Linked DNA regions of Oryctolagus cuniculus. The protein of the gene in region 5 interacts with the protein of the main gene of each other region in a pairwise test. Links are inferred from orthologs where the notes say so. Each region holds a gene or a part of one and is shown on either strand. Other genes may lie near its edges.

The links.
Region 1: the proteins of TRIM39 (region 5) and EIF4A2 interact in binary tests that used the Homo sapiens proteins (3 or more experiments, as listed by UniProt). The two-hybrid records come from large-scale screens. The link is inferred for Oryctolagus cuniculus from reciprocal best matches to the Homo sapiens genes TRIM39 and EIF4A2.
Region 2: the proteins of TRIM39 (region 5) and POLI interact in binary tests that used the Homo sapiens proteins (3 or more experiments, as listed by UniProt). The two-hybrid records come from large-scale screens. The link is inferred for Oryctolagus cuniculus from reciprocal best matches to the Homo sapiens genes TRIM39 and POLI.
Region 3: the proteins of TRIM39 (region 5) and UBTD1 interact in binary tests that used the Homo sapiens proteins (3 or more experiments, as listed by UniProt). The two-hybrid records come from large-scale screens. The link is inferred for Oryctolagus cuniculus from reciprocal best matches to the Homo sapiens genes TRIM39 and UBTD1.
Region 4: the proteins of TRIM39 (region 5) and PSMA6 interact in binary tests that used the Homo sapiens proteins (3 or more experiments, as listed by UniProt). The two-hybrid records come from large-scale screens. The link is inferred for Oryctolagus cuniculus from reciprocal best matches to the Homo sapiens genes TRIM39 and PSMA6.
Region 6: the proteins of TRIM39 (region 5) and UBXN6 interact in binary tests that used the Homo sapiens proteins (3 or more experiments, as listed by UniProt). The link is inferred for Oryctolagus cuniculus from reciprocal best matches to the Homo sapiens genes TRIM39 and UBXN6.
Region 7: the proteins of TRIM39 (region 5) and UBE2K interact in binary tests that used the Homo sapiens proteins (3 or more experiments, as listed by UniProt). The link is inferred for Oryctolagus cuniculus from reciprocal best matches to the Homo sapiens genes TRIM39 and UBE2K.

What each region holds. Positions count from the first base shown.
Region 1 is NC_091435.1:96,444,626-96,448,837, reverse strand, and holds the start of EIF4A2 (eukaryotic initiation factor 4A-II), read right to left. Parts: upstream 2,801-4,212; 5' UTR 2,402-2,800; coding exon 2,373-2,401; exon of another isoform or gene 2,309-2,372; intron 1,617-2,308; coding exon 1,571-1,616; intron 1,481-1,570; coding exon 1,348-1,480; intron 1,232-1,347; exon of another isoform or gene 1,164-1,231; intron 1,063-1,163; coding exon 923-1,062; intron 143-922; coding exon 1-142. UniProt on the Homo sapiens protein: ATP-dependent RNA helicase which is a subunit of the eIF4F complex involved in cap recognition and is required for mRNA binding to ribosome.
Region 2 is NC_091441.1:23,987,528-23,991,532, reverse strand, and holds the end of POLI (DNA polymerase iota), read left to right. Parts: intron 1-1,071; coding exon of another isoform or gene 1,072-1,266; exon of another isoform or gene 1,267-2,308; coding exon 2,309-3,118; 3' UTR 3,119-3,505; downstream 3,506-4,005. UniProt on the Homo sapiens protein: Error-prone DNA polymerase specifically involved in DNA repair. Plays an important role in translesion synthesis, where the normal high-fidelity DNA polymerases cannot proceed and DNA synthesis stalls. Favors Hoogsteen base-pairing in the active site.
Region 3 is NC_091446.1:32,352,465-32,356,463, forward strand, and holds the start of UBTD1 (ubiquitin domain-containing protein 1), read right to left. Parts: upstream 2,801-3,999; 5' UTR 2,395-2,800; coding exon 2,325-2,394; intron 632-2,324; exon of another isoform or gene 167-631; intron 1-166. Other genes in the region: MMS19 nucleotide excision repair protein homolog, read left to right, coding at 3,277-3,391. UniProt on the Homo sapiens protein: May be involved in the regulation of cellular senescence through a positive feedback loop with TP53. Is a TP53 downstream target gene that increases the stability of TP53 protein by promoting the ubiquitination and degradation of MDM2.
Region 4 is NC_091443.1:40,254,564-40,258,586, reverse strand, and holds the start of PSMA6 (proteasome subunit alpha type-6), read left to right. Parts: upstream 1-1,223; 5' UTR 1,224-1,228; coding exon 1,229-1,358; intron 1,359-4,023. UniProt on the Homo sapiens protein: Component of the 20S core proteasome complex involved in the proteolytic degradation of most intracellular proteins. This complex plays numerous essential roles within the cell by associating with different regulatory particles.
Region 5 is NC_091436.1:139,953,702-139,956,085, reverse strand, and holds part of TRIM39 (E3 ubiquitin-protein ligase TRIM39), read left to right. Parts: intron 1-813; coding exon 814-836; intron 837-1,384; coding exon 1,385-1,500; intron 1,501-2,172; coding exon of another isoform or gene 2,173-2,198; coding exon 2,199-2,384.
Region 6 is NC_091447.1:59,807,306-59,811,353, forward strand, and holds the start of UBXN6 (UBX domain-containing protein 6), read right to left. Parts: upstream 2,801-4,048; 5' UTR 2,691-2,800; coding exon 2,608-2,690; intron 254-2,607; coding exon 90-253; intron 1-89. UniProt on the Homo sapiens protein: May negatively regulate the ATPase activity of VCP, an ATP-driven segregase that associates with different cofactors to control a wide variety of cellular processes.
Region 7 is NC_091433.1:33,549,090-33,553,360, reverse strand, and holds the start of UBE2K (ubiquitin-conjugating enzyme E2 K), read right to left. Parts: upstream 2,801-4,271; 5' UTR 2,729-2,800; coding exon 2,666-2,728; intron 1-2,665. UniProt on the Homo sapiens protein: Accepts ubiquitin from the E1 complex and catalyzes its covalent attachment to other proteins. In vitro, in the presence or in the absence of BRCA1-BARD1 E3 ubiquitin-protein ligase complex, catalyzes the synthesis of 'Lys-48'-linked polyubiquitin chains.

The DNA.
Region 1 (4,212 bases), on a different chromosome or scaffold from region 5:
ATACTCTCCCTGGTGTACCAACAACGATATGTGGTGCTTCTGCCTGCAATTTTTGCATTTCATTCCTAACGTTTGTTCCACCAATGCAGGCATGACAAGTTGCTCCCATATAGTCTCCAAGTGCCAGAATTACCTTTTGGATCTAAAAGCCAAAATCGGTAATTATTATCCTGTAGGGCTGCAGTTTCTATGACTAACTGCCAAAGCATAATGGCAAGTTATCTGGTCTGCCAATAGCTTTTATGCATGCACAGCAAACTACTTCCAAGCTTAAAATGCAGACTAACTGCTTCAAGAATAAAATTCCCTGTCTTTCTTATGCCTCAAACTGATCCTCTTGCCCCAGATTATCTGCTAGGCAACTAAAAAAAAAAAAAAAAGGAAGCACATCCTATCTTATTCTTCATTATGTAGGAAAGGTGTAAATATTGATTAAATTCTGTTAATTACAGCTAGGACAAATGTTGGTCATTTTCCCCACAGGGAACTGTACCTTTTTATGATCTTGACCATAATAAAGCCTGTGGCTTTATTAGGAAGGTTTACTTCAAAGCCAATTTAACAGTAAGCTTTGAAAACATAGCATGCAACAGATGCATCACAAACTACTGAGACAGTCAAATGGTAACATGTCACTGCAGTTTTCATGTTGCACAACTGCACTTGAACGTAAGGAAAATGGATATAGGAATGGGGTATCCTGAACAGAAAGCTTCACAGCCTCAGTCTGGGGAGACAACCCTACACACAGTACCTAGACACCCAGTTCCTATGTAACCTCCAACAAAAACTCCCTGCATGCATGGACAATTAAGAGGGCTCTGACAGGACTAATTTACCCTAAATTTTAAATTCTTCACAGTTGTGAAACCTGAAACCTATGCAACACGCAAGCAGTTTTTTTGAACTACACTATCAATACCTGTTGAGCCAGTTCTCTGGTGGGGGCCAATACTAGTGCTTGGGTCTCCTTGAACTCAATCTCCAACTGTTGCAGGATGGAAATAGCAAATGTGGCTGTCTTGCCAGTACCTGACTGAGCTTGAGCAATCACATCATACCCTAAAAAAAGTAGGATACATATTTACCGATCCCACATCAAATTGTCACTTCTACTTCACACCATGTATTCCATTTGGAACATAAATTATGCCCCAATAATCAAGTGATCAGCAATGAGTATTCTGTCATTTCAGGTCAGTCCCGAAAGATGATTGCCATCATTTCACTTTAAGGAATACAAACAGGTGCTAGTCCCCCACAGGTTCCGCTCCCTTTTATGGTCCAGGTCTATCATTAACAGTGAATTCACTTTCTGTTTTTAAATGCTAGAGAGTTTTCTTTTACCTTTAATGCAAGGAATAATAGCTCTTTGCTGAATAGCTGAAGGCTTCTCAAAACCGTAAGCATAGATGCCCCGAAGAAGAGACTCCTTTAAATTCATATCATCAAAGTTATCAACAATCTCATTCCAGTTGCTCTGTTAAGTTTAAAAAGAAGTTAAATGGGATAAATGAGATGCGCGCGCACACACCTTTGCAAGGCTTCAAAATCCACACCCATTTCTCACCTCGATGACACCATCGGGGTCCATTCCCTCTGGGCCGCCATGTTCTCTGCGGGCAAGTACACAACAGCAGTTAAGACAGCTCCCAAGCCGCCGCCACCCGCCTCGCCTCGGGGCCTGCCCCTACGCTGCCCAGAGAGCAAACGCAGCCCGTGTGCGGGCCACGCAACGTCCCGGCATGTCTCCTGCGGGAGAGCCCCAACGCAGGCCCCGCCAACACCAGCCCCTTCCCCCCGGGCTCTCCCGTTTTGGCGACGAAGATCTCGCGAGAGCTCCACGCGCTGAGCTCCGCCCCTGACACTGCGCAAGCCGGGGTGATTGACGCGGCCGGGGCGGCCCGGCGAGGGCAATGCCAACGGTTCGCCCCCAGCCCCGGTGCCGGTCCAGTCCCGTCTCCTTCCGGGCACGGCGGAGTGGACCCCGCTGCCCCCACTGCCCTCAGGCTGAAGCCCGAGACCAACTCGCGCCGTTGACCGCAAAGAAAGCGTCGGCCCCTACCACCCCGTTCCGAATGCGGATTGGGCCACGGCTTTTATTTAAGATATGTACCGTGTTCCGCACGGCGAGGAGTGAAGGCCGAAATTTCTAGACGTCTTTGAAAGGGGAGACCACTCCAATTCCGTAACTCGCGTCCCCCTGCAGTCCTACCCATCATGGAAGCTTCTCGAAGGACTCGGGGGGGTATTTGTAGCCCACGAAAACACCCGTGAGCCTGTTGCTTCCTGCCCTCACAGCACTCACCACAGCCTCCCTGGGCGCCCTCTGACCTTCACCACAGAACACCACCGCCGAGAGGCCGCCATACCTGTTGTAGTCCGCAGAGCCACCAGACATGTCCGAACAGCCACTCAGCGCCCGACTGAAAAGACAGCAGCGCCGTGCCACCCGTTTTTTATAGGCTCGCGGCCGGAACCCGTTTTCCGCGGAGGAATATCGTCGCCGCGCTTTGGTTAGTCCCAAAATTAGAATCCTGGGGCCGTTCTCTCAGGAAAGATTCCTAAGGAAGTCAGTGGAAAAATTCACATGTCGTAATTTCTCGATATTACAGGGTTGCTGGAAATCCCAAAACCTGGAGGCGAACTAGGGCTCTTTGCGTGGCGGCGGAAGAATATTGCAGCAGCGGCGGCCGCACGCCGCGCTCCCCGCCCGCCCCGCCCGCCTGCTCCTACGGGGTTTCCGCGGCTCTGACGCAGAGGCCGAGCCGGGCGGCGGGCGGCCGGGAGCCGGAAGCCTGCGGCGCGCTGCGCGCTCGGTGGCCGGGCCGCGGTCGGCGGGCGGACTAGCGGCTCCTTGCCGGGGCTCGGCTCCTGCAGGGTCCCGGCGTCTTCGCTCTGCTCCGCAGGGCCAGGGTTCTTCTGCCATGTCCCGCGGTCAAGAGCCGCCCAGCAGTAAGCCCGACCGTTGGACATGCATTCAGATCTTTGGAGAGATTCCGACTAGGGAAAATGTCGGCCACCCAGCACGTCCCAGAAAATCCGGTTGGCCGGTGCATTTTGCAGAGCAAGGAAAAAAATCTTAGTGTCGTCGAGACTAATATCTGTGGTAGTAACTCCGTACTCCATCTCCACTGATCCTCTCTGGTAAAAAATCGTGCTGACGATTCTAACCTAACAGGTGTGAGGATCATTATAAACTTCTTTCAAATGATGAAAAAAAAAAAAAAGCTAAGGAACAGGAATTTTCCTTGCACTGAGGGAATGTAAAGCGGTGCTTCCGGAGGTACCGGTCTATACCTCTTTGGAACTAGATGCGTTTTGATTCCGGTCCGCATTGATCATTTTTAAAATGATTTTGAGTTTTAGTTGCCTGTGTATAGTGAAATGTTGATTTACTGAAATTCAGAGCAATACAGTCCTTGCTGCTGAAATAATCTGCATGATTCCTTAAACTCAAGACAAGTTCTCAACTAGCTGCAACGCAGGCCCCTTGGGTCGAAATAAAAACAATATATTTAATAATTTATTTGTAAAATACAATCCTATCTATAATCAAGATATGACTGCCTAGGAAGATGCTTTCTTGTCATTTCGGATCAACCTAGTCCCCGATTATTGGAGAAACTGACTCAGCTTTCTGTATTTTAGAAGGTACTTGATTCTAAATGCCACTTATTTCTTGTTCAAGACATCATCTATGTATTTGAAGATTATGGTTGTGCCGGGAACTGTGACAAAAATGAAGACTACCAAGGTGACAGCAGACCTGGTGTTCAGTCTGGTGCTGCTGCCACTTACCTGTCCCCCCGCGGTGTTCAGATCCGGAGTTGAAGTGATGCCAAGCATTTTTGGAGAATGATAGCACTTTAGAGACTACTGTAGTCTCATCTAAAAATCTAAAACTACCCTGGGACCTAAGAAACTGAAGAAAATATGAATTTAGAGAAGTGACTTGCCATTTAATTACACTTGAGTCTTAGGGTGAAATTAGTGGATGGTGGGGTGAAATCAATCAACAATTAACACCTAATTGTTGAGCGGCTCCTTCAGGGTTGTTACTATACTAGATGCTGAGGAGAGGAAATCGACAAGGGCTAACTCTATGAGTTAGGTCAGGAGTGCTGAGGGAGTTTCAAGTTAAGAACCCATAACGGAGTCACCATCCACACCTGCGGTGCCTGTAACCTTACAGTATAATTCTTTAAAAAA
Region 2 (4,005 bases), on a different chromosome or scaffold from region 5:
TGTTTGGATGATTTACTTGTTTGGGCTATGAGAGTACTTCAGAACATTTATAGAAAAAGCGAATTAAAAGATAAGTTTATTTTGGTGCAAAAAATTTTTGAAATCCATGCATTGTTTTCTCCTAATATGTATTTTCTGTAAACTCTTTGAAGACTCCTTTACAAGTGTAGATTGCAATTTTTTTGGCATCAAAATGAACTTATCTTTTAATTCCACTTTCCCACAAACTTACTGAAGTTGCTTTACCTACCATATTATGGTTGCTGACCTTAAATGTATTGTGTTCTAATAAGAAGACGTAGCATCCCTGAGTAAAAGAGAAAAACACTATGGAGAGTCACTGTTTTGGAAGTGAACACATTTTCTACCAGTATACAGAATATGATGGATTAGCTCATAAATATAAGCATATCTTCAGACACTAGAGATCAGATCTTATTATCAATTTATATATATGTTGCCAGCACCCTTCTGACAACTTTGTAGCTCAAGTCTTTGAATTTTCTTAGTTTTGAAATGATACTGTATTCTGATAAATATTGATAGAAATGACTACTGATTTTAGAATTGTAGAAATTAACTGCATACATAGAGGTATAAACCAGCATTTTCAACACTAAAACTTTTTTAAAAATTTAGTAAATTTGGCATGTTTTTTTAAAAAATCTTTTATTAAATTGTTAATGCCTATAATTTTAACTAAAACAAAAAAATTTTAAATTTATAATTTAATTAATACTATAATTTAGTGATATTTTCTTTCCACTTATATTAAAAATGAAAATATAGTATTATGTAAATAGTGGCTGAATGCCCTTTTTAAATTACTTTTTTTGGTATCCTTTTTATTCCATTTATAGAAAATTTTTAAAAAATTTTACTTCTTATATTTTAATTAATCTGAAGAATAGGAATTTTAGACCGCTAATTTACTGTGGCATTATAGAAATAAATATAAATGTAAGTACCTTGCATATGTCTAACATACTGTAGGTGCTTAATAAATATGATGTTAATCTCTTGTACTCTTTTTAATTTTTTTAAAGATTTATTTATTTATTTGAAAGACAGAGTTACACACAGAGAGAGAAGGAGAGGCAGAGAGAGAGAGTGGTCTTCCATCCGCTGGTTCATTCTGCAAGTGGCTGCAATGGCTGGAGCTGTGCCAGTCTGAAGCCAGGAGCCAGGAGCTGCTTTTGGGTCTCCCATGTGGGTGCAGGGGTCCAAGGATTTGGGCCATTCAGAGGTGGAACAGCCGGGACTTGAACTGGGCCCATATGGGATGCTGGCAGTGCAGGTGGTGACTTTACCTGTTACGCCACAGCGCCAGCCCCTCCTTTTAATATTTGAAGTTATTATTATATTGATGCTTACTGAGTACTATTTGAAAATATATACATTTTAATGGAGCTTAAAGCTAAAGGAGAAATTTAAGTGAAAAATCATATTGTACAAATGAGAAGTGGAGGTTTTTAAATTTTTATTTTACTTACATGTAAAATAATGCTATATCTTAATGATGTCAACTTTTACCATTACCAAATCATTTTTGCTTTTCTTAAAGTTACTCTTTATAATAAAAGTAATTTTTGGAATACCAGTCCTTGATGTTAAATTCCTATTTTTTTTTAAAGATTTATTAATTTATTTGAAAGTCAGAGTACAGAAAGAGAAGGAGAGGCAGAGAAAGTCTTCCATCTTCTGGTTCGCTCCCCAATTGGCTGGGATGACTAGAGCTATGCCAATCCAAAGCCAGTAGCCAGGAGTTTCTTCTGGGACTCCCACACAGGTGCAGGGGCTCAAGGACTTGAGCCATATTCTACTGCTTTTTCAGGCTACAGCAGAGACCTGGATTGGAAGTGGAGCAGTCGGTACTTGAACTGGTGCCCACATGGGATGCCGGCACTGCAGGCAGCGGCTTTACCGGCTGTGCCATAGCGCCAGCCCCATACTTCTGCCTTTTAAAAAATATTTCCTTAGATGAATCAATTAGCTTTTTTAAGGCCATTCTATTATTTATAGTATTGCAAATTTGAACACATGATTGTTAAGATCTTTCTAGGCCTCTGAATACTGCTCTGACTTAGTGCTATCTAGAAAGGAAGCCTCCTCCTAGAATAGTGAGTAAAGGCCCATACAGCAGTGTGAGACTAATCATCTGTAGTTGTTTGGAACCGAACATAAAGGTTTGAAGTTGCTGAGTAGGATAAAAACATTTTGTCAGATACTAGCTACTGGCACTCTTCAGCAGTGACGGTGTTTAAAAGATGTCAGGTATCTAAATTACTCTGTTATCCTTGTGTTCTAGAAAATAAAAGACACTCATATGGAAGATTTTTCTAAAGACAAAAAAACAAATTGGAGTTTTGTACCAAGTGGAAGAATTGAAAGTACAAGGACTGGGGAGTCTCCAGTAGATACTGCAGATTTTTCTAAAGAAAAAGATATTAATGAATTTCCACTCCATTCACTTCCTGAGGGTATTGACCAAGAAGTCTTTAAGCAGCTTCCAAGAGATATTCAAGAAGAAATCCTTTCTGGGAAATCTACAGAGAATTTTCAAGGAAAAGAAAGTCTGAGTTGTCCATTGCATGCCTCTAGAGGAGTGTTGTCTTTCTTCTCTACAAAACAAATGCGAGATACTCCCTTGAATACTAGAGATCATTTATCCAGTAGCAAAGAGGTATCCTCTTTGTGTGAACCTGGAACATCAGGCTTAAATAGCAGTAGTTCTTCTTTTCTGTCTAGCCACAAGGATTATTATGTAGATAGTAGACTGAAAGATGAAAGAACAGGTCAAGAATCTAAAGAATCTCAGGGGTTCCACTTTTCAAATACAAACCCTGCTGTATCAGTTTTTCATTCATTTCCAAATTTGCAAAGTGATCAACTATTCACTAAAAGCCACACTGCACATAGCCATAAGCAAACAATAGCAACAGGTTCTCATGATGAAAGACTTACAGAAAATAGAGAGCAAGATTCTGCTGACGAGAAAATTACTTTTCCTTCTGACATTGACCCTCAAATTTTCTATGAACTGCCAGAAGATGTACAAAAAGAACTGTTGGCTGAGTGGAGGAGAACAAAATCAGATCTGCACATTGTACATAAGTAAACATGTTAAGAAGAAAGGTCTGAAAAGCTAGAGATTAGCAGCTTTTTAAGCTGTTCTAATTGAACACTAATAGATATCCAATAATGTGGAAATCCAATGTAAAATGTTTCAGGAAGTAAATTCCAGCACAAAGCATAAAAATATAACAGAAGAAATAATGTAAAATATTCATATTATTTCCATTTTATATTGCTTTTCAATAAAAATAATATCATGGTCAGCTTTTGTGCATTTTCCTTAAATTGAGAGTAAGAGATGTATATGCCTACATACAAAAATTAGACTCCCTGTGTCATTGCTGTGCTCTGGTGAAGAACAGTCTGTTTTCTGTGAAATACAGGAAGTCGACCTGTTTGGAAACAGCCAAATAAAAAATCTGCAAACTAACCTATTAAATTGTAGCTAATTTTGACTGAAATATTATAATACCATTTAATTTAATAAGTTGACTTGTAAAATATCAAATCAGTATATATTCCATTAATCCTTCTTTGTATACTTGGAATCTGTCACAGTACATGGAAGACAGAGGGCATTCAGTAAATATTGAATGAATGGATGATGTGGCCAGTACCTGTGTAGGCAGTTGGAGGTGAAAAGAAATGTATTTATTGTACAGAATAGTGGTAGAAGGAACTCTCCATAAAAGTAGATTGGAGGATAGATGGAATAGAAATGAGCATACGAGATAATGGAAGAAGTCCATTTCCTTCTTGCCAGTTTTTAGGGCTTAGAGGCAATGGAGGGTAATGCACACATTTACTAAATTATATTGGCTTTCTTCCATTGCTACTGACTTCAGCCTTTGCCTACTAGATTAAAAATTGGGTATAAAATCGAGGCCATTTTATAATTTGCAAAACAGAGAGGGAATATTTTCTAGAATA
Region 3 (3,999 bases), on a different chromosome or scaffold from region 5:
GATGTCTTCTATCTGCTGGTTCACTCCCCAGATGGCCGCAACGGTCAAAACTGGGCCAATCTGAAGCCAGGAGCTTCTCCTATGTCTCCCATGTGGCTGATTTCACAAACACCTTCTGGGAGGGGACTACCAGCTGTGGGTAATGGATGAATGAAGACAAACTTACTTGCCTTTGGTGGAGACCGCACTTCAGCCTAGAAGAAGAGTTGGACCTGAGCCGGTGACAGGGGTGCGAAGTCGAGTGGGAAGGAGCAGCTTCGCAAGACCTGCAGGCCTCAGTGACTGGCAGGTAGACAGAAAGCAAGTAAGCCAAGATGTCATCTAGACAGTCCTGAGAGGCACAGCTTAGGCAGCTGAAGAATGTAAGGAAAGAACGCAAGTGGCTGGCAGGGAGAGATGCAGACTTGCATTAGATCTGAGGTCAACATCAGCATCTGGGGGCCTTTAGAGATGTGGGTCCGGGGTACAGGGGAGAGGTAATAGCTGAAGATCAAGTGTAAGAGTCTTCCCAGTCGAGGCCGACTTTTGTGGCATAATGAGTTAAGCTGCCGCCTGCCGCTCCAACATCCCATATGGGCACTGGTTCGAGTCCCAGCTGTTCCTCTTCTGATCCAGCTCCTTGTTAATGCACCTGGGAAAGCAGCAGAAGATGGCCCAAGTGCTTGGGCACCCACATGGGAGACCTGAATGAAACTCCTGGCTCCTGGCCTCCGCCTGCCCTAGCCTGGGTCGTGGAGGCCATTTGGGGAGTGAACCAGTGGATGGAAGGGCACTCTGTCTCTCTCTCCCTCCCTCCGTCCCTCTCTGTAACTCTGACTTTCAAATAAATAAAATAGATCTTAAAAAAAAAAAAAAAAAAAAAGTCTTCCCAGTGGACAAAGCCATGGGAAGGAGCATAGTAAGAGAAAAAGTGTTCAGACTGCACCGCAGGAGTCCCGCTCCTCTGAGGTGGCAGCGCCAGTGGGCAGGAGTGACCAGACAGGAAAACCAAGAAGGCAAGGGGGCAGAGTTTCAAGTAAAGGCAGGTGTCAACAGAGGAAAATGCTACAAAATCAGTTACCAGGGCTCACTGCAAAAATAACAAATATTTGTGGGATGAATGAAAGAACGGAAGGAAGGCAGGAAGCCCTTGAGTTGCCCATCCACTTTCCTCAGTCAGAAGAATGGCCCGGGCTGCCCTCCGACACCGGGGTTTCGGAGTTAAGTCTCACCCCTCCATCCTATGAAAACACGTCTCTTCCGCCACAAGCCATCCTGTGCACCGCACAGACATCCTTCCCTGCCTCCCCGACGGTTTCCCATCCTCCTTCCCGGCTTCCGCGTCGGAGCAGGTGGGAAACTGAAGTTCCCACTTCATTCACAACTCTGCGTCCGGCTCCCCTTCCACCAAGGGCTATGTGGCAACGGGCAGGAGGAGCACGCTGGCCGCCAGCCCCACTCGCACGGCTCACTCGCTGTGTGACTTTGGACAAACCCGCCAGCCTTTCGGGACCCAGCCTTTTACTCAGAGCGGAGGAGGCGGATCTGTCTGGAACCCAGACAAGTTTCGGCGCTCCTCCGAGCACTACAGTCTATGATTTTATCATTCTCAGAAGGTCCTTGCAACACCCTCGGAGAAGGAAGTGAGACCCAGAATGACCGCCGGCCCTCTCCGAGGGGCCGAGCGCCAGGACTGAAGGGGCGCACGGCGAGAGTGAGACGGCGCGGCCGGTCCCGCGGATCCCCAGAGGGCGCGGCCCCCTCCCAGCGCTGGCGCGGAGCCCCGCAAACCCGAGGGCGCCTCTCGCTCCGCACCCCACCTCGCCACAACTCCCAGACGGCCAGGAGGCTCTAAAAAGCCCTGCGGGGGGAAAAAAAATAAAGATTTCTTTCCCAGAGTCCTGCGCTGCTTTTGCAAGTCGGATTCCGGCAGACGCGATCCGCAGCCCGAGAATGACACAGTCAGTCTCGGGAAGGAGCGACCGACCGTGCCGAGTCGTGGGGCCGCCCGGCAGTTCGCGCCGCGCCCCGACGGGCAGGCGTCCGACCCCGGCCCGGGCTGCCAGGCCGCCGGCGCCCTCGCCCCCGGCCCTCCTCCCCGCGGCGGCCCCGCTGCGGTCTGCGAACATTTCCTGCCCCCGCCCCCACCGGCCACCCGGAGCTTCCCAGTTGGAGCGAGTTGGTCTCGCAGCCCGGTCGGCGTCCCCGGCCTCGTCAGGCTCGGAGCTGCGCTGGGAGAGCCCAGGCGCCAGGGGCCGTGGGAGGTCGCGCCGGGAGCCCAGGGCCCCGGCGAGCAGGGGCCGACCGGCGAGGTGCCCGTGGCCCTGCTCGTTCCCCGTGGTTACCTGCTCGCTTGCGGGGGTGTCCTGGGGCGGCTGGCCTCTCCCCGCGCTGTCTCCCCACGCAGTTGCCCATGCTGGCTCCTCAGCCGGTCCCCATGCACCGGAGGCGGCGGGGTGGTCGGCTGCTCCGCGCCCCTGCCCCGGACGGCGGCGTCCCGGGTCAACGGCTCCTGCCGCCCGGCATCTGACGCTCCGGATCTCCCCCCGGGGGGGCGCGCTCTGCCCCGGCGCCGGCCTCGCCACAAACTTTGCGGACCCGGGGAGGGAGGGAGGGAGGTGGCCGACTCCCCTGCTCAGTCCCAGGTGGCCGGGCCAGGGGGGCCCGCGACGGTGCCCGGCCGGAGACCAGCCCCGCTGAAGGGGCGGAGAGAGGGGGCGGGCACCGCCGCAGCTACTCCCGGCTCGCTTGGGGCTCCCAGCTGGGGCCGGCCCCCCGCAGCCTGTCACTCACCTGCCTAACCCCGCCCCAGCCCGGCCCCACTCCCTTCCGCCGGCTCGCGGTGCCCGCGCCGCCGCCGCCACCCGCCCCAGGTGCGCATGTGACCGACGGCACCGCCCCCTTGGGCCGGGCCTGATTTTCTCATTGGCTTCCCCCAGGGTGCGTACCGCCCCTCGGCCCCACCCAACCAGGTGTCCTCCCCGCAGCCCGTCTCCCGGGGAGCCGGGCCGGGAATTATTCGCCCTCAATGGCCCCCGACTGCGTGCCCAGCGAGCCGCCTTCGCTCTCCGCGCCACCGCCCCGGCCCCAGGCCCCACCCCTCGGGGAGGGGCCTTCCCTCCCCTCCTCTACCCTCCCCTCCCTGGAACTGCCCGATCAAGAGCTGGCGGCCACGTGATCCAGGGAGCGCCCCGCCCCCGCGGCATCCACCCAGCGATTGGCTCAGGGGGCGCGTGCGCAGACAAGCCTGTCTCGCGCCTCCGCCTCCTTCCCCTCCCACGGTCGCTCGTTAGCGTCATGGCCGCCGCCGCCGCTCCCCAGGAGGCGGCGGCGCCTACGGGCCCCCTGTGGGGACTCGTGCAAGACTTCGTCATGGGTCAGCAGGAGGGCCCCGCTGACCAGGTGGCTGCAGGTACGGCAGACAGCGCCGGGCCCCTTCCGCTTGGGGGCCGACAGGAGGGAGCGGCCTCAGCACAGGCGCGGAGCGGGAAGGGAGTGAGGGGCAGGATGACTTTGAGAGATCAGTCTCAGGGCTGCTTAGTGAGCATCGAGCTTAAGAAGCGTAACAAGTTGGAGAGTCGCGCGCATCTTCCATACAGCGCTTTTACTCTCGACGTCTCCTCACAGCCAACGGTAGACCGTCATTACATGTCACTGACGAGGAGACGCAGGCCCGGAGAGCTGCGGCGCGGGCGGGAGGGGAGCTGGGGCTCAGACTCGGGAGTTCAGGTGGCTCGGGCTGCCGGCTCCGGGAGACCACATTGTTTGTGGAGATTGACGTGGGGAGGTGACTGCTGGGCGCGTCCGCTCGCGGCGCGCGGCATCTTGGGAGTGGCTGTAGTCGGAGCGAGCCGAGCGGCCAGTCGGGGCAACTGGAGGTGGTGTCGCATCCGCCTCTAGACTTTCCCTCTGTGTCTTGGTGAAGTTCTTGATTACTTTTGCATCGTGACTTTTGTGCGGCATTATTTTTATCTTTTTCCCAGATCCCCTGTCTCCTCTGCTTTGGACCTGTTCAGGGAA
Region 4 (4,023 bases), on a different chromosome or scaffold from region 5:
AGCAGCCCCATGGGAGGCAGGAGGAGAACGTGAATAAAAAGGGTAGTCCAAAGCACTTGGAAAGGGCAGAAAGGAGAGAAGAGCCGCTTCTCCCGGCCCCATCCCAGCGAGTGCCCAGCGCTCTGCTTGTCTGATTACATAAGCGCAGGGAATTCCTTTCAGGGGTCTTCTTAAGAGGAAGCCATAGAAAATAGCAAGACGGCTGGTGCTGTGGCATAGCAAAGTCACCACCTGCAATGTTGGCATCCCATATGGGCACCAGTTTGAGTCCCAGCTGCTCTACTTCCGATCCAGCTCCCTGCTGATGATCTGGGAAGGCTGTAGAGGATGGCTCACGTGCTTGGGTCCCTGGATCCATGTGGGAGATGCTGAAGAAGATCCTGGCTCCTGGCTTCAACCTGGCCCAGCACTGGCCATTGCAGCCATTTGGGGAATAAACCTGTAAGTGGAATCTCTCTGTGTGTTGCTCCCTTTCTCTCTCTCTCTCTCTAACTGTGCTTTCCAAATAAATAAATAAATAAATCTTAGAAAGAAAAGGAAAGAATGGGATGAAACAAAATACGAGACAAGAACACAGATGAGTGAATGTCATAAATCTTGAAAAATGCATTTTCTCTTGTCATCTCCATTTTATGGTGTTTGAAGATTTCCTGAAGTTCTCTCTACCCAAGTTTGCTCTTTGTTGGCAGTATTTGATCTAATGAATGCTTCCAGGGACTCTACTGCAGACACAACTCGCTCTCAACTGAGAATTGAAATAAGCAGGAAGACAATTATCTAGTCACTAATGGCAGCTAAAGATAGTTTGTTTTGCTACCAGAGGGCTCTCAGCAGTATACTCTTGTCGAATAGATTGAGTTGTTAAGATAACCATGATAATTTGTTATAAATAGCAATAATGTGAAGGTTTTTTGGTAGCTGCTGACAAAAATGAGGATGTAGAGAGTTCGTTTCAACCACATTAAAATTAGTTCCCAACTCATCTCCTTGGAGCTATTTAAAATCCAGCCCAAGAAGCAAATATTTGGCTTCAATTTCTAATATGTTAGAGGAATACATTCATTTTAAAAAGAGGCCAGATCAGATTGCCTCATCTGTCTCAGCCAGACTAGAACATTATTAAGTCTTGAGTTCAGTTCACATCTAAATAAAGGTCATTATTTAGGGAGGTTTCTTGTGCTTTCTGTGACTGCATCAGAACGGAATGTCAGTGTCCTGAGAGGTGCCAATGGAATTCCCTGACAGTTCTGTCCATTTGGCTCTGCTGGAGCAGAACGGTGTCCTGACAGGATGGGCTAGAGTTGCCAGTGCCATGAGACAGGTGCCGCTGGAGAGGGCTATGGCAAGTCTTCAGAAAAGTAAGTCCCTCCGCCAGACTGGGAACCTGAGGTGTGCTGTGTTGCTAGTTCTTTGAACTACATGGTTCTTGTGTTCCTCTTTTCAGTGACCATGCCCTAAAATCCACAGCTGTGTTTTCTTCTGTTCTCTGCTGCATAGCTGAGGAGTATATTGCTATCAGGTTGTTACACTATATATGCCCACTTTCCTGTACGTATATTCCAATTTTTAAAAAAAGGATCATTCCCCGTGAACTCTTTTGAAACACGCTTCTTTTACAACTGACAGAAAATGAAAACTTTTCCTTGTACTTACAGTCTTCTACCACTCCCTCATGTGCTCTATTATGGAATTGTAAAAATGTAAATTCACAAAAAGAAGCAACTTTTCCCCCCCACTTAAGTTAGGGCATTACTATATACCTACCGAAAATATTACTTGCCTCACATAGCCGTACACTCAAAACCTTCCACTCAAGGCTTACTTGTATTCAGGAGGAAATTTGTGTTCCAGGAAGCTGTCACCCTGATAATAGCTATTGACTCAAATTGAGGGTCATGTCCTTTGGCACTTAGTCCTGTTCTGGCAGGCGTGGTCAAATCCTTGATGAAATGGGTCTTTTCCAAGTCCAGCCCTCTGATCTCTGCTCCTAAAGAAATAAACTCTGCTCAGACCATGTTTTTGAAGAGAAAGTGTAAGGAAAAATTAATTGCTGCTTTACCTAGATAAAGAGTTTTTTTTTTTTTATTTTTTAAAGCAAGTCATGTGATTCCTTTTGTTTATGGACACGCCAAAGAAAGTTTATTTGAGGAAATCACTATTGAACACTGTGTGCCTTTCAGATGTCAGTAGGCTATCTGAGAGTACCTTAAAACATCTGTGGAAAAATGGAATTAAAAGATGTTTGTTTTAGTGCAAAAATATTTTGAAATCCATGCATAGTTTTTTTTTTATTTTATTTTATTTTTTTTAAGATTTATTTATTTGAAAGGCAGAGTTAGAAGGAGAGTCAGAGAGAGAGCCATCTTCCATCCTCTGCTTCGTTCCCCAAATGGCCACAACAGCCATGCTGGGCCAGGCTAAAGCCAGAAGACTGGAACTCGATCCGGGTCTCCCATGTTGGTACAGGGGCCCAAGTACTTGGGCCATCGTCCACTGCTTTCCCAGGTGCATTAGCAGGGAGCTGGATTGGGAGTGGAGAAGCCAGGACTTGAATAGGTGCCCATATGGGATGCTGGCATTTCAGGCAGGGCTTAACCCACTGTACCACAGTGCTAGGCCCCTGAAATTTTTTCATAATACATATTTTCCATGAACTTATTTCTCCTACCTGGTCTCAACTATTTTCTAACCTTACACTGAGGATTTTTTGGTCCCTATGAGATGGGAAAACTAGATATTTTGATTATTTAAATATTACTTTAAAAATTCTGGTTTCAGAATTTCAAACTTGCAAGTTCCTCATTTTGACCAGTCTTCTTACTTGCCCCATTCCTTCAGCCCAGCCACCAGTTCCTTTGCCTGCGCTTTGGCCTATCCATTCCTGAGGGACACAGACTCTATTGCTCACCCCCATCTGGCTTTACCTGCCTTCCTTCCTACCTCACCCACTCCCCAAGGCGTCCGTATGAAAGGGTAGCTCCTGTAGCAGTTAGCAAATTCTTGTATTCCCTTAACCTCCTGTGAAGTCTACCTTTTCAATTCCAGACCTAATTTTGAGAAGCATAGACCATTCTACTTTTCTACTCTGATATACCATAGTTGTGCTATTAGTCAGGAAACTGTAACTATTGAAATTTCACTCCCATTTGACGGTCCTCTTTGTCGTCTGACATTGAATTCCTAGTCATTTCCTGAAGGCACTCTCCTGGTCTTTACAACCTGATCTTGAGAAACAGCAAATCTGGGGCTTCCGTTTCCTTTTCTGTGAAATGAGGAAGATGGCCTGTCTCAGTACTCCTCCAAATTTAATAGGCATAGAATTATCTGGGAATCTCACTTCAAATGCTACTTCCTTTTTTATTTTTTTAAGATTTATTTATTTATTTATTTATTTGAAAAGCAGAGTGACAGGGAGACAGAGAAAGAGACATATTCCATCTGCAGGTTCACTTCCCAAAGGCCCACAACAGCCAAGTCAAGCCAGGCTGAAGCCAGGTGTCTGGAACTGCATTCTGGAGTCCCACAGGGTTGTCAGAGTCCCAGGTCCTTGGGCCATCTTCCACTGCCTCCCCAAGCACACTAGCAGGGAGCTGGATCAGAAGCAGAGCAGCCAATATGGGATGACAGCATCAAAAGAAGTGGCTTAACCTTTTGTGCCACGAGGCTGGGCCCTCCGGTGCCACTTCCGATTCAGGTCTGGCATCCCCCGTGATGCCAGTACCTCAGACCATTATGTGAGTACTAAAGGCCTCCATGAGCTCTAAGATTATTTTAAAAACTAATACTAAAACAACACTCATGATTCCAAGTCCTGAGTCACAACCTTCCCACATTCACTCACAGCAGACTTAACCAGAAACTGAAACACCACCTTTTATTAGGCTCTTCAGCAGTGTTTGCCCTTTCCAATGACTTTCCTATCCTCAATCTTCTCTCCCTTTTTCCTCCCCCTAGGTTACTTGTTCCTCCTGCCTCCATTCTGTCCCTTTTTGCTGAGTTGGGATCTTCTCGCAGTTCATTCCT
Region 5 (2,384 bases):
TGCTGAAGAACAGAAACATAGCTTAAAGGATACTTGTAAAGAATACCTTGCTTTTGATATACCAATGATGCCTCTAAAATGTTTGAAGTAGTGTTATTCTCTTAAACAGATAAATCATATTAGCCAGGCTGTAGGGGACATACTTTTTATCTTAGATATCAGATTACCAGCATTTGAATCATTGAGGCTTCATTGTACATTTATATGCATGTTGTGTATTGCTCGGTATTTATTATTCCCGTGTTCTTCATGTCTGTGTGTTCTGCTTTCCACATTAAACTGGAAAATCCTTAAGGGGCAGAGATTTGTCTTCTTTGTCTTCTGGACCCCAAGTATTCTCAAATTAGGATTGGCACGCAGTTGTTAATGTTCATTAACCAGTGCTGGCTAGGGAATACCAAACCACAACAGGAAAGAGTGGTTTGTTTTGTGCTGCCAGTCAGAATTCTCTGTCCTGAGATCCTCAGGGAGACACAGTGTGTGGTTGGTACTTGGGGCACAGAGTGAAGAGCAGACACAATCCCTGTCCCTTGCAGGGAGCTCCCAGTGAGCCTGAGGAGCAAAGACAAACACCAAGAAACCATTTGGAAGTGATTCAAATTATCAAGCTCCACAATGACCAAAAGTTGAAAATGGGGATCCAGTTGGGAGAGAAGCTCGGATGCCCCTGGAACTCTTCGCCCTGCACTGGGACCCTCAGTTTTCTCTGTGCCTTTTTAGAGATCTAGAGCTTTGGGGAGGAGGGGAAACCTTTTGCCTTCAGGACCCTTGAATACCAGGACCAATATTGCTTTCTTTTCTCCTTCCCTCTAGGATGTCAAAAGTACCCTGGAAAAGTAAGTGATTCTTAAATCTCTTTGAGTGAGTTAGGGCTTGTCTTAGATGCTGGGAGTTCAGTAAGGAGGTGGGGGAATAATGAGGGGAAAGTCATACAGGCTGGGTAGGATATGGGAGAAGGTCCAAGAAACCAGTTAGGGAACAGATCATCAGGACTAATAATCCCTTTTCCCCTTTGAGCATCAGGACTTCCTCAGTAAGAAGAATGATAACATAGAAACAGGTTCTCCTTGCGTCTATTGGTAAATTACGTCCAAGCAAGATGGCAGGAGGAACGGGTTGGTGGAGCCAATGGGCTTACCCATGGGCATGAAATATAAGACACACCCCTTCCCCCCACCCACCCACCACTGACCTTGTCAACATAAGAATCTGTCCCGGGAACCAGTGGCTCTCTGTGGATTGGCGAAAGGAAGCAGTTGTCTTCAGGGAGGAGGGGAAAGTGGGAAGATGGAGTTTTAGTTTCTCCCTAAAGATGACAACATCTGATAGCCGCCTGGCTTCAGCTTCCCCTAACCTTGCCCTTAATCTCCCCATCCCCTCCTAGATGTGAGAAGGTGAAGACCATGGAAGTGACTTCAGTATCTATAGAGCTGGAAAAGAACTTCAGCAATTTTCCCCGACAGTATTTTGCCCTAAGGAAAATCCTTAAACAGCTAATTGGTGAGTTGTTCCCAAAAGGAAATTAGCAGAGGGAATTGCCAGAGAGAACAAAGTCTTCAGACCCTACTTTATGTGGGCTTCAGTTATCCCGTCTCTCTTCATTCACACACCCATCTTCACCCAACTTTGAATGTCACCCTGAGTCACAGAACTCAAAATGAGAAGAAGCCTTAGGTATCACCTACTCTGAGATCCACACTTTTCTAAATAGAGACTTGGAAAGGTTAAATAGTTTGCCCAGGTTGTTAGATAGGGTGGCCGTCTAAAGCTAGGATGAGCTGAATAGTGAAAGGATGTGTCCTTAATATTCATGCAAGGAAAGTGGTCATTAACCAGGACAGCTCTGGGAAAACACATACACCTCACCCTATTCGTAGACCATAGTGCTGTCTTGCTCTGTATCTTTCTTAACATAACACTTTCCTTCCTGGCCCTCAGACCATGCCTTGCACCTCTCTGTACAGAGCAATAGATGATGATGTCGGAGGATGACAGGGAGAGTGGGAACCTTAGAGTGGTCCCTGCAGGGTCGGGATGAGAAGGGTAGCCTTCATTCTCCTCTCCCTCAGGAGACGCCCTGGGTTAGAGAGGTAACTTTTAAGGGACCAGGCTCTGTAGAGGCAGGCTGGAAAAGTGAGGCAGGGACATTTAGCTATTCCCATCCTCATCTAGCTCCCCACTCTGGCTTCTCCCGCCAGCGGATGTGACCCTGGACCCCGAGACTGCTCATCCTAACCTAGTCCTATCAGAAGACCGTAAGAGCGTCAAGTTCGTGGAGACAAGACTCCGGGATCTCCCCGACACACCACGGCGTTTCACCTTCTACCCTTGTGTCCTGGCTACTGAAGGTTTCACCTCAGGTCGACACTACTGGGAGGTGGAGG
Region 6 (4,048 bases), on a different chromosome or scaffold from region 5:
ACACCTCCCTTGCAGGCTCGCAGGCGCTGGTCGGGAAACCCTACCCAGAGCAGGGCCCCGGCCCCGGCCCGAGGACGGCCGCGGCTCACCCTGGTTCCGGATGGAGTCCTGCGACGTGGGGCCCCGGGCCCGGGGCTGCTTCTGCTCCAGCCGCGCCAGGGCGGCGGCGGCCGCCATCTGCGCCTCATCGGTGGGTCCCTGGCGGGGCGGCCTCAGAGCCAGCTGGCTGGGTTTCTCTTTGGGGGCCTTCTCCCTGCGCAGTGACCGAGGCAGCGCGAGATCAGAGGGGAGGCTCCTGCCCCGCCCCTGCCCTGGCACGCAGACCCAGCCCTGCCGGCCCCGGGGACACCACTCCCCGCGGCCTCCCCCGCCCCCCCCCCCCCGGCTGCAGCCCTGGGCTCAGGTCGCCGCCTCCTCACGGCCCCGAGACCCTGGGGACGCCCACACCGCGAGCCCGGGTCCCAGCACCCTGGGGCAGGGGTGACGGCTCAGGCAGGGCCCCCCCGCACCCATGGGCTGAGTCCCCGGCTCATGGCTGCAAGTGGGAGCCTCCTCTCTCTGCTTTTCCAATCAGCAAAAAATATATTTAAAATGTTTATTTATTTGAAAGAGTTGGGGAGAGAGGTCTTCCATCCTCTGGTTCACTCCCCAAAAGGCCATTAATGGCTGGAGCCGCGCCAACCCAAAGCCAGGAGCCAGGAGCCGCATCCGGGTCTCCCACGCAGGTGCAGGGGCCCCAGCACTTGGCCGTCATCCACTGCTTTCCCAGGCCACAGCAAGGAGCGGGATTGGAAGTGGAGCAGCTGGGACTCGAACCAAGGCCCGTATGGGATGTGGCCCTGCAGGCCAGGGCTCTAACCCGCTGCGCCACAGCGCCGGCCCCAGAGAGCAGCCTGGGAAAGCAGCGGCAGCGGCCCACGTGCGTGGGCCCCCTGTGAGGCCCACCTGAGGCTCCCGGCTCCAGCCTGGCCGTGCTGACCACGTTGGGGGTGGGCCAGCAGAGGGACCGGCCCCTCTCTCCCTGACTCTTCCAAATAAATGAGAGATAAATCTTAAAATCTCCCTGCAAACCTTCACGGCTCTGGGAAGCCCACATGCCAGCCACGACCCCTGCTACCCGGCGGCTTCCAGTCCAGCAGGCCGGGGGGCGGCCGCAGGGGCACGTGGACACAGCCCCGCGCGGACAGGCGCTGAGCAGGCCGGCCGGGAGCCCCCCGTCCAAGCCCCGGCTCCGAGCCGCTGGGATCTGGGGGGCTCGCCTTCCTTCTCCACCGTGGGCCCCGGCAGACCCCTGGGCGACCCCTCCCCGCCCGTGGGCAGCGGCCTGGACGAGGCCTCCCCCCGGCTGGCTGCTGGCCCAAGAGGACCCCCGAGGAAGCCCCCTGGCCCTGTGGCTGCTCCATCTTCCCCCAGAGACTCAGTTCCCCGACGCCCTGGCCAGCCCTTCCCGTGGCCTTGAAGGCCCGCCCACTTGGGGTGCCTGCCTCCCCCGTCTACACTGGGCTCCCCGCTGCTCCTGTCTACACCGCCTGCCTGTTCCTCACGCGGTCCCCACTGGAGAGCCCCCACACGTCCTGTGTCTCCCGCCCAGAAAGTCCCACGGGGTGGGATGAGGCCGGGGGTCTTGGAGGCAGCAGGGAGACGCCCCTGGTCCACGCCAGCTCAAGGCCCCCCCACCCCCTTACTTCCCCTGTACGCCGCCTCTATCTGTCCTAGGCGGACCCTAGCCCCTCCCGCCAGCCCTCCCCATCCCCCGGGCCCCTCCTCTCGTGGAAACGCGGACGTGGCCCCCACTACCCCACCGCCCAACCCGCCCCCAGACTCTCCAGAAACCCACACCCTGCACGCCCCGCCCCCGCCTCAAACGCCCCGCCCCCGCGGTCATCCCCGCCCCCACGCCCCGCCCCCGCGGTCGTCCCCGCCCCCACGCCCTGCTCCGCCCCCACGCCCCGCCCCTGGGTCATCCCCACCTCCCACGCCCCGCCCCCGCGGTCGTCCCCGCCTCCCACGCCCCGCCCCCACCCCGCCCCCGCGGTCGTCCCCGCCCCACCCCCGCGGTCGTCCCCGCCCCCACGCCCCGCCTCCCACGCCCCGCCCCCGCGGTCGTCCCCGCCCCCACGCCCTGCCCCTGCCCCGCCCCCGCGGTCGTCCCCAACCCGCCCCCAGACTCTCCAGAAACCCACGCCCTGCACTCCCCGCCCCCGCCCCCGCCTCCCACGCCCCGCCCCCGTGGTCGTCCCCGCCTCCCACGCCCCACCCCCGTGGTCGTCCAAGCATCCCACGCCCCGCCCCCGCGGTCGTCCCCGCCCCCACGCCCCGCCCCCGCCCCGCCCCGCGGTCGTCCCCGCCTCCCACGCCCCGCCCCCGCCTCCCAAGCCCCGCCCCTCCCCCGCCCCTCGGGGGGTGCGCCCCCGAGCTGTCTCCCCGGCCCCATCGGCCCCGCCCACCGGAGTGTCAGCCGCATCGGCCCCGCCCCCAGGGGCGCCCCTCGGCGCCCGGCCGCCCCCTCCCAGCCCGGGCCGCACCTGCCGCCCCCTCCCCGGTCCCCAGAGGCCGCCCACCCCGCTCCCCGGTTCCCAGCCCCCTGCCCCGTTCACCGTCCCCTACCCCGCGGAGTCTGTGAGTTTCTGCCCGGGCCCCGCGCTCTTGAACTTGATGTCTGCCTTGATCTCCTGGAAGAATTTCTTCATCTTGGCGGGGGGCCCGGCGGCGGGGGGCCGCGGCGGGCGCGGGGGGGGGGGCGCACGGCCCAGGCAGGGAGGGGCTGACAGAAGCTAACAACCGGAAAGAAAATAGCGCGGAGCCGGAAGTCCCGCCTTCGCGGGCCGCCCACGTGACAATCGACCCGGGTACCTCGGAGGCGGCCGCTCTGTATTCTGAAGCCGCGTCTCGGTGGTTCTTCCGGCCTCCGTTGCCAAGGCGACGAGCGCGCTTCCCCGCGGGCCGCCGCGCTGGGAGTCCCCGGCCTGGGCCCCGGGGAGCTGACCGTGGGGCCGGCTGGGCCGCGCGGAGAAGCGGTCAGGGGCGCCCCTGGCTCCCGGGCGCTTACGTCATAAAGCCCCCATTCAAGGTCCCCCGGGACCCAGCCCCACTTTGCCCACAGTCGGCGCCCCGCGAGCCCCATGGGGCCTTGGGGGCCGCTTGGGCCGGCAAGGCAGAGAGGAGCGGGGTGTGCACCGACCGAGTGGCAAAGGGGAGCCCCCACCCCCCAAAAAAAACTCTGAGCGCGCAGGCCCTGGAGGGAGATAGGCGGGGAGGGGGCGAGGGGCCGCCCCCAGCCCCAGGACCTTTGCCTGGGGGTCAGCAGGGGGTCGAGGGGGGGGCCCTGGGGTGGGAGAGCCCCCCGCGGGCGCAGACGGAGTCAAGGCAAACTCGCCTTCCCGAACGAGGGTTCCCTGTCCACAAAACGGTGCTGGGAATAAAAGACCCCCGCCACGGAGGACCCTGGTGGGGACAGCGCGGCCGCGGGCCCGTGTGAGAGCGGCGGGTGCCTCTGTTGAATTCGCCCTGAGCAAGCTGCCGGGTCGGACCGTGGGGAAGACAGAATTGTGTGCATCGGGGAGCCCGGCAGGTTTAGGAGGGAGGCCGGGAGGGATGGGAGAGGTCTTCCACCTGCTGGGTCACTCCCCGAATGGTCGCAACAGAAGCCGGGGGCCAGGAGCTCCATCCGGGTCCCCCACGCAGGTGCAGGGCCCCAGGACCTGGGCCATCGTCCGCTGCTCTCCCAGGCCACAGCAGGGAGCTGGATCGGGAGCGGAGCGGCCGGGACACCTGCTAGGCACACCGCACCGGCCACAAGGGGGCACAATTTTCACTGTCAAAGGGACCCTTTTAAAGAATTATTTGTTGTAAGGGGCTGCACCAGGCCCAAGCCAGGCTCTAGGAACCGCACGCGGGCCCCCCAGGCAGGGGGCGGGGGCTGTCTTGAGCCACATTGGGGAGAAGCAGGACTGGAACCAGAGCCCCTACAGAGCCGGTGCTGGCTCAGGCAGCTGCACCATGGGGGCCGGCGCCGAGGCGTGCTGGGCTGGGCGCCAGTTCGAGTCCT
Region 7 (4,271 bases), on a different chromosome or scaffold from region 5:
ATTATTACCTAAAACTCAATTTTAGAAAATAGTTTCCAACAGCTACAAGATGGATTTCTAACACTGTCCTAAGGAAAACAGGCTTAGATGGTGCCTTTATGTATTTTATTTAGTCTGAACAGATCTCTTCATACCCTATACACCCAACCCCCCTACACAAAAGAAGCTACTTTTACCAATTTCTCATGATGCTTTCACCTGCACAAATACATATTCTAATAGTTGTGTATAACCTCTTGTGACATTAGCTATCTTCACAAAGACACAAAAGGGCTCCCCAAAAAAGGGGGGGTCTTTAAATCAACCACTAGTTTTAGTAAACACAAGAACAGGAAATAAACTTCAGTAAACCAGAGATTCACATAACGTGACATGACGAAATAACTTATTACTGATCGGCCATTCAAAATACTGCATTTATACCCTTACAAAGAACACCAGTCCTTCAATAAGCTGAAAATAATCAACATAATCTACTTATATAACTGGGCCCACTAAAATATTGATGAAAATAAAGCTGTTTATTAGTTATATTTATTTCAAGATTAAACTGCTTGACCTTAACTAAAGGTTCTTCGCAACTCACTTTCTCCGAAGCAGTTTCCTTCCAGATTTATAAAGGTACTTTAAAAATAATTTTGTTTGTATTTCCTGCTTGCTTTCTCTAAAATACTATGACACTTTTAAAAGTAAGGCTCTAGTAGCCCTTACATTTAAAAAAAAAAAAAAAGATTATTTTAACAATATGCACTTCTAGGGTAATACAAGTATTTCTGGTAATCCTCAACTTAAGTCCTTAAGAATACAATGATAAAGTCACCTCACATAAAGCAAAAAGATCACGTGAATTACCTGAAGCAGTAACTTACCACTTTTAAATAATACAAAAAAAAAAAAAAAACACCACAACTATTAGTTCATTAAGTTTCAGGCTTGTACACCCTTATTATAAAGGAAATGTTTTAGGATGTTAGCAACAATATTAGCCGCAATTCTTCATTAGGAATATATACATCAACTACCCTGGAATACATCTTTCTTATCATTACTAAATAGAAAGTTAGTACCACTGTTTCACTGCACACTCTCCAGACATTAATGACTCTATTCTGCATTGTACCACAAAAAATACAAAGTCATCCTTCCATTCAGAGTTTTGGCATATGAACGAACACAAAGGTCAGAGTTCATACACATGCTCTGTAGAGCTGATCATGACTTACGTACTACTATAGTCAATAGATCTGCTAGTATTTGTCATTTTTGAATTTTATAATGATTTTCTCCACATCTGATGTATGGAAAGATGAAATCACAGTAGATTCAATGACACAAATAAAGCTTAAGTGCTATTAGACTATGTCAATTACTCATCACATCCTGGGAAGGCTGAGTGTCACAAATCTTTATTGACATTATCAAAGCAACAATTAGAAAAGACACAAATAGCAATGATATATTCAATAATGACATGGGTGTGGATCTCGAAAATAGTAATTTTCAGTAGTTATGACAAACTGTACTGACACTTGCAGAGTTTCGAGTCAGAATTACTAGGACATTTTAAATACCTTACATAAGTAAATGTGGTCAGAAGTAAGGCATCTAAATTCTGCAGGACTCAACGGCAGAAAAAGACAATTTAAAAATAAAGAATATGCTATGTCAAGAGATGTATATTGAGTTAAACCTACTCAATTAAGAGACAACAATGTATTAACAGGGTGAAATCCTTTGTTTTTAATGGGTCTATTTTTAAAAGACACAAGTTTTAACCATGAGGGACATCATAATGGAGTTTCATGGCCCAACACGAGTCACAGAGGCATTGTCTTGAGACAGTCTGATATGTAACCTGTAAATAATGTTCTCAAATAAGCTACTCATTCACTATTTTTTCCTTAGCTAAAAATATGTAAATATCTTTAATACACTACCTAGCCTCTGCCCCGTTAAAAAGCACTAGATGTCAATAAAGAGGCCTAGGAACTGGGGGGCACGTGGAAAGGAGATAAAGATCTCATTTGGAATTAATTCCCTATCTCAGGTGAAAATTCCTTTATCCCATCCCCCAAACAAGCTAGTATCCCATTATGCCTTTCCTGTCTCCCCACGCCTAACTAGGAGGGAATACCTCTGCATGTCCTTCTCCTTCCCCCAGCACCTCAGGGCTCTCATCGCTCCTCGCCTTCGGAACGGACAGCAAAGGCCTAACAGGCAACAACCCCAAGACCCTTCAGAGTGTGGGCCTTGGAGCAGCGCTGCTCTCCGGATCCAGTTACCACCTTTCCCCTTCCCCCAACCCACTTCCCGGGTTTTCTCAGGCCCGGCCTTGCTGCCTTCCCACACCCCACAGCCACACTTCCAGCTGCTGCCACCGCCTCGAGGCTCGGGAGAGAGAGCTCGTACCCCGCCGCGGAGTGCACCCCTCTTCATCCGCCCCCCCCCAAACCGTACTCCTCCCCAGACCACCCGCCCGCGAGCCGTCCACCCCAGGGCCCTAGAAGGGAGGGGAAGGCGGCGGGAGGAGGAGGGGGAGACGGCCGCTTCCCCACAGGCAAAAGGGCGGCCGCGGGGAGGGCCACCGGGGATATCGGGGTCGCCGCTGGGAGGGCCCGCCCGCCCTGGGCCTTGGTGGGGGAATGTCCGGGAGTTCATTTCTGACCTCCTCGCTCTTCAGCACCTCCTTGAACTCCCGCTTGATTCGCTGCACCGCGATGTTGGCCATGTCTCCGCCCGCAGCTGATTCGTACCCGCCTCCTCCGCCACCGCTACGACCACCGCCACCGCCGCCACCTCTTCCTCCACCGCCTCCTCCCTCGGAGATTCAGATCCCAGCACACGAACACCGCCGCTGCCACCCCGGCCGCCGGGCTCTGCTCTGTGGAATCACCTCCGCGCCCGGCCACCAAAATGGCGCCGGACCCGCGCATGCGCACGACACCGACCCGGCCGGGCGGCGCAGCCGCTCCCGTTGTAGCCCCATACGCCTCAGCCACGAGCCCGCGCCGCGCCGCGCGTCTCAGCCGGAGCTGCGGACGCGTGACTCCGCCCTGCCGGCGTCTGGGGCCGGGCGGGTGCGGCTTCCGCGCTGGCCATCCCTGCCTCGGCCTCTCGGATTCGCCGCTGCGCCCCTGCTTCCCCCCACCCGCGCCTCGCTTGGACGACCCCCAGTGTGGTACTGGCGGGGCTGCCGGCCCCTGGCCTCTGCATGGAGGCCCGAGCCCGGCTGAGGGCTTCCTGCGGCCCCACGCGGCCTGAGCGTCGCCCTGACTCAGCCGGATCCGGGCTGCGTGTGCCCGCCGAGTCTGTGTGAAAGCGCGGCCCCGGTCGGCCCAGGGTCGGTTAGGACAGCCCCAGAAAAGCCACCGCGGTGGCTTGGGTTTTTTTGCTGGTTTTTTTTTTTTTTTTATGGTTTTTTTCTTTGTGGGGGGGAGAGGAGGGCAGAGCATGACTGCCACTCTTAACAATGATCATCTGAGGGACTACCCGTCATTAAACTCAGGGCGGCTATTGTTGGAGCCCATTGCTTCTATTTGAGATAGGTTTCCCCTGGAAAGATCTGAAGTGGGTTTAGAAACCAGATACTGACCGCTAATCTGTGGAACTAAAACCTTGGTTTTCAAACTTGAGTGTTCATCAAAACCCCTGGAAGTTTTTTTCTTTTCTTCTTTTTTTTTTTTAATCGTATTGGTGAGCCTCGTCTTTAGAATGTAGGCTGGGGCCGACGCCGCGGCTCACTAGGCTAATCCTCCACCTTGCGGCGCCGGCACACCGGGTTCTAGTCCCGGTCGGGACGCCGGATTCTGTCCCGGTTGCCCCTCTTCTAGGCCAGCCCTCTGCTGTGGCCAGGGAGTGCAGTGGAGGATGGCCCAAGTACTTGGGCCCTGCACCCCATGGGAGACCAGGAAAAGCACCTGGCTCCTGGCTCCTGCCACCGGATCAGCGCGGTGCGCCGGCCGCAGCGCGCCGGCCGCGGCGGCCATTGGAGGGTGAACCAACGGCAAAGGAAGACCTTTCTCTCTGTCTCTCTCTCTCACTGTCCACTCTGCCTGTCAAAAAAAAAAAAAAAAGAATGTAGGCTGGGCCTAAGGAGGTGCCTAACAAACTCCCTGCCTCTGCTGCTGCTGCTGACGATGAACCACTGGGCCAGGCTTGTGGAAGTCTACGCATTAAGGTGAACACTGGCCAACAGAAGCTCCTTACAGGGATGGTGTTGGGGCCTAGAGCCTGCTAAGGTGGCTGGCGCTAGTAGGCACTCAATCAATATT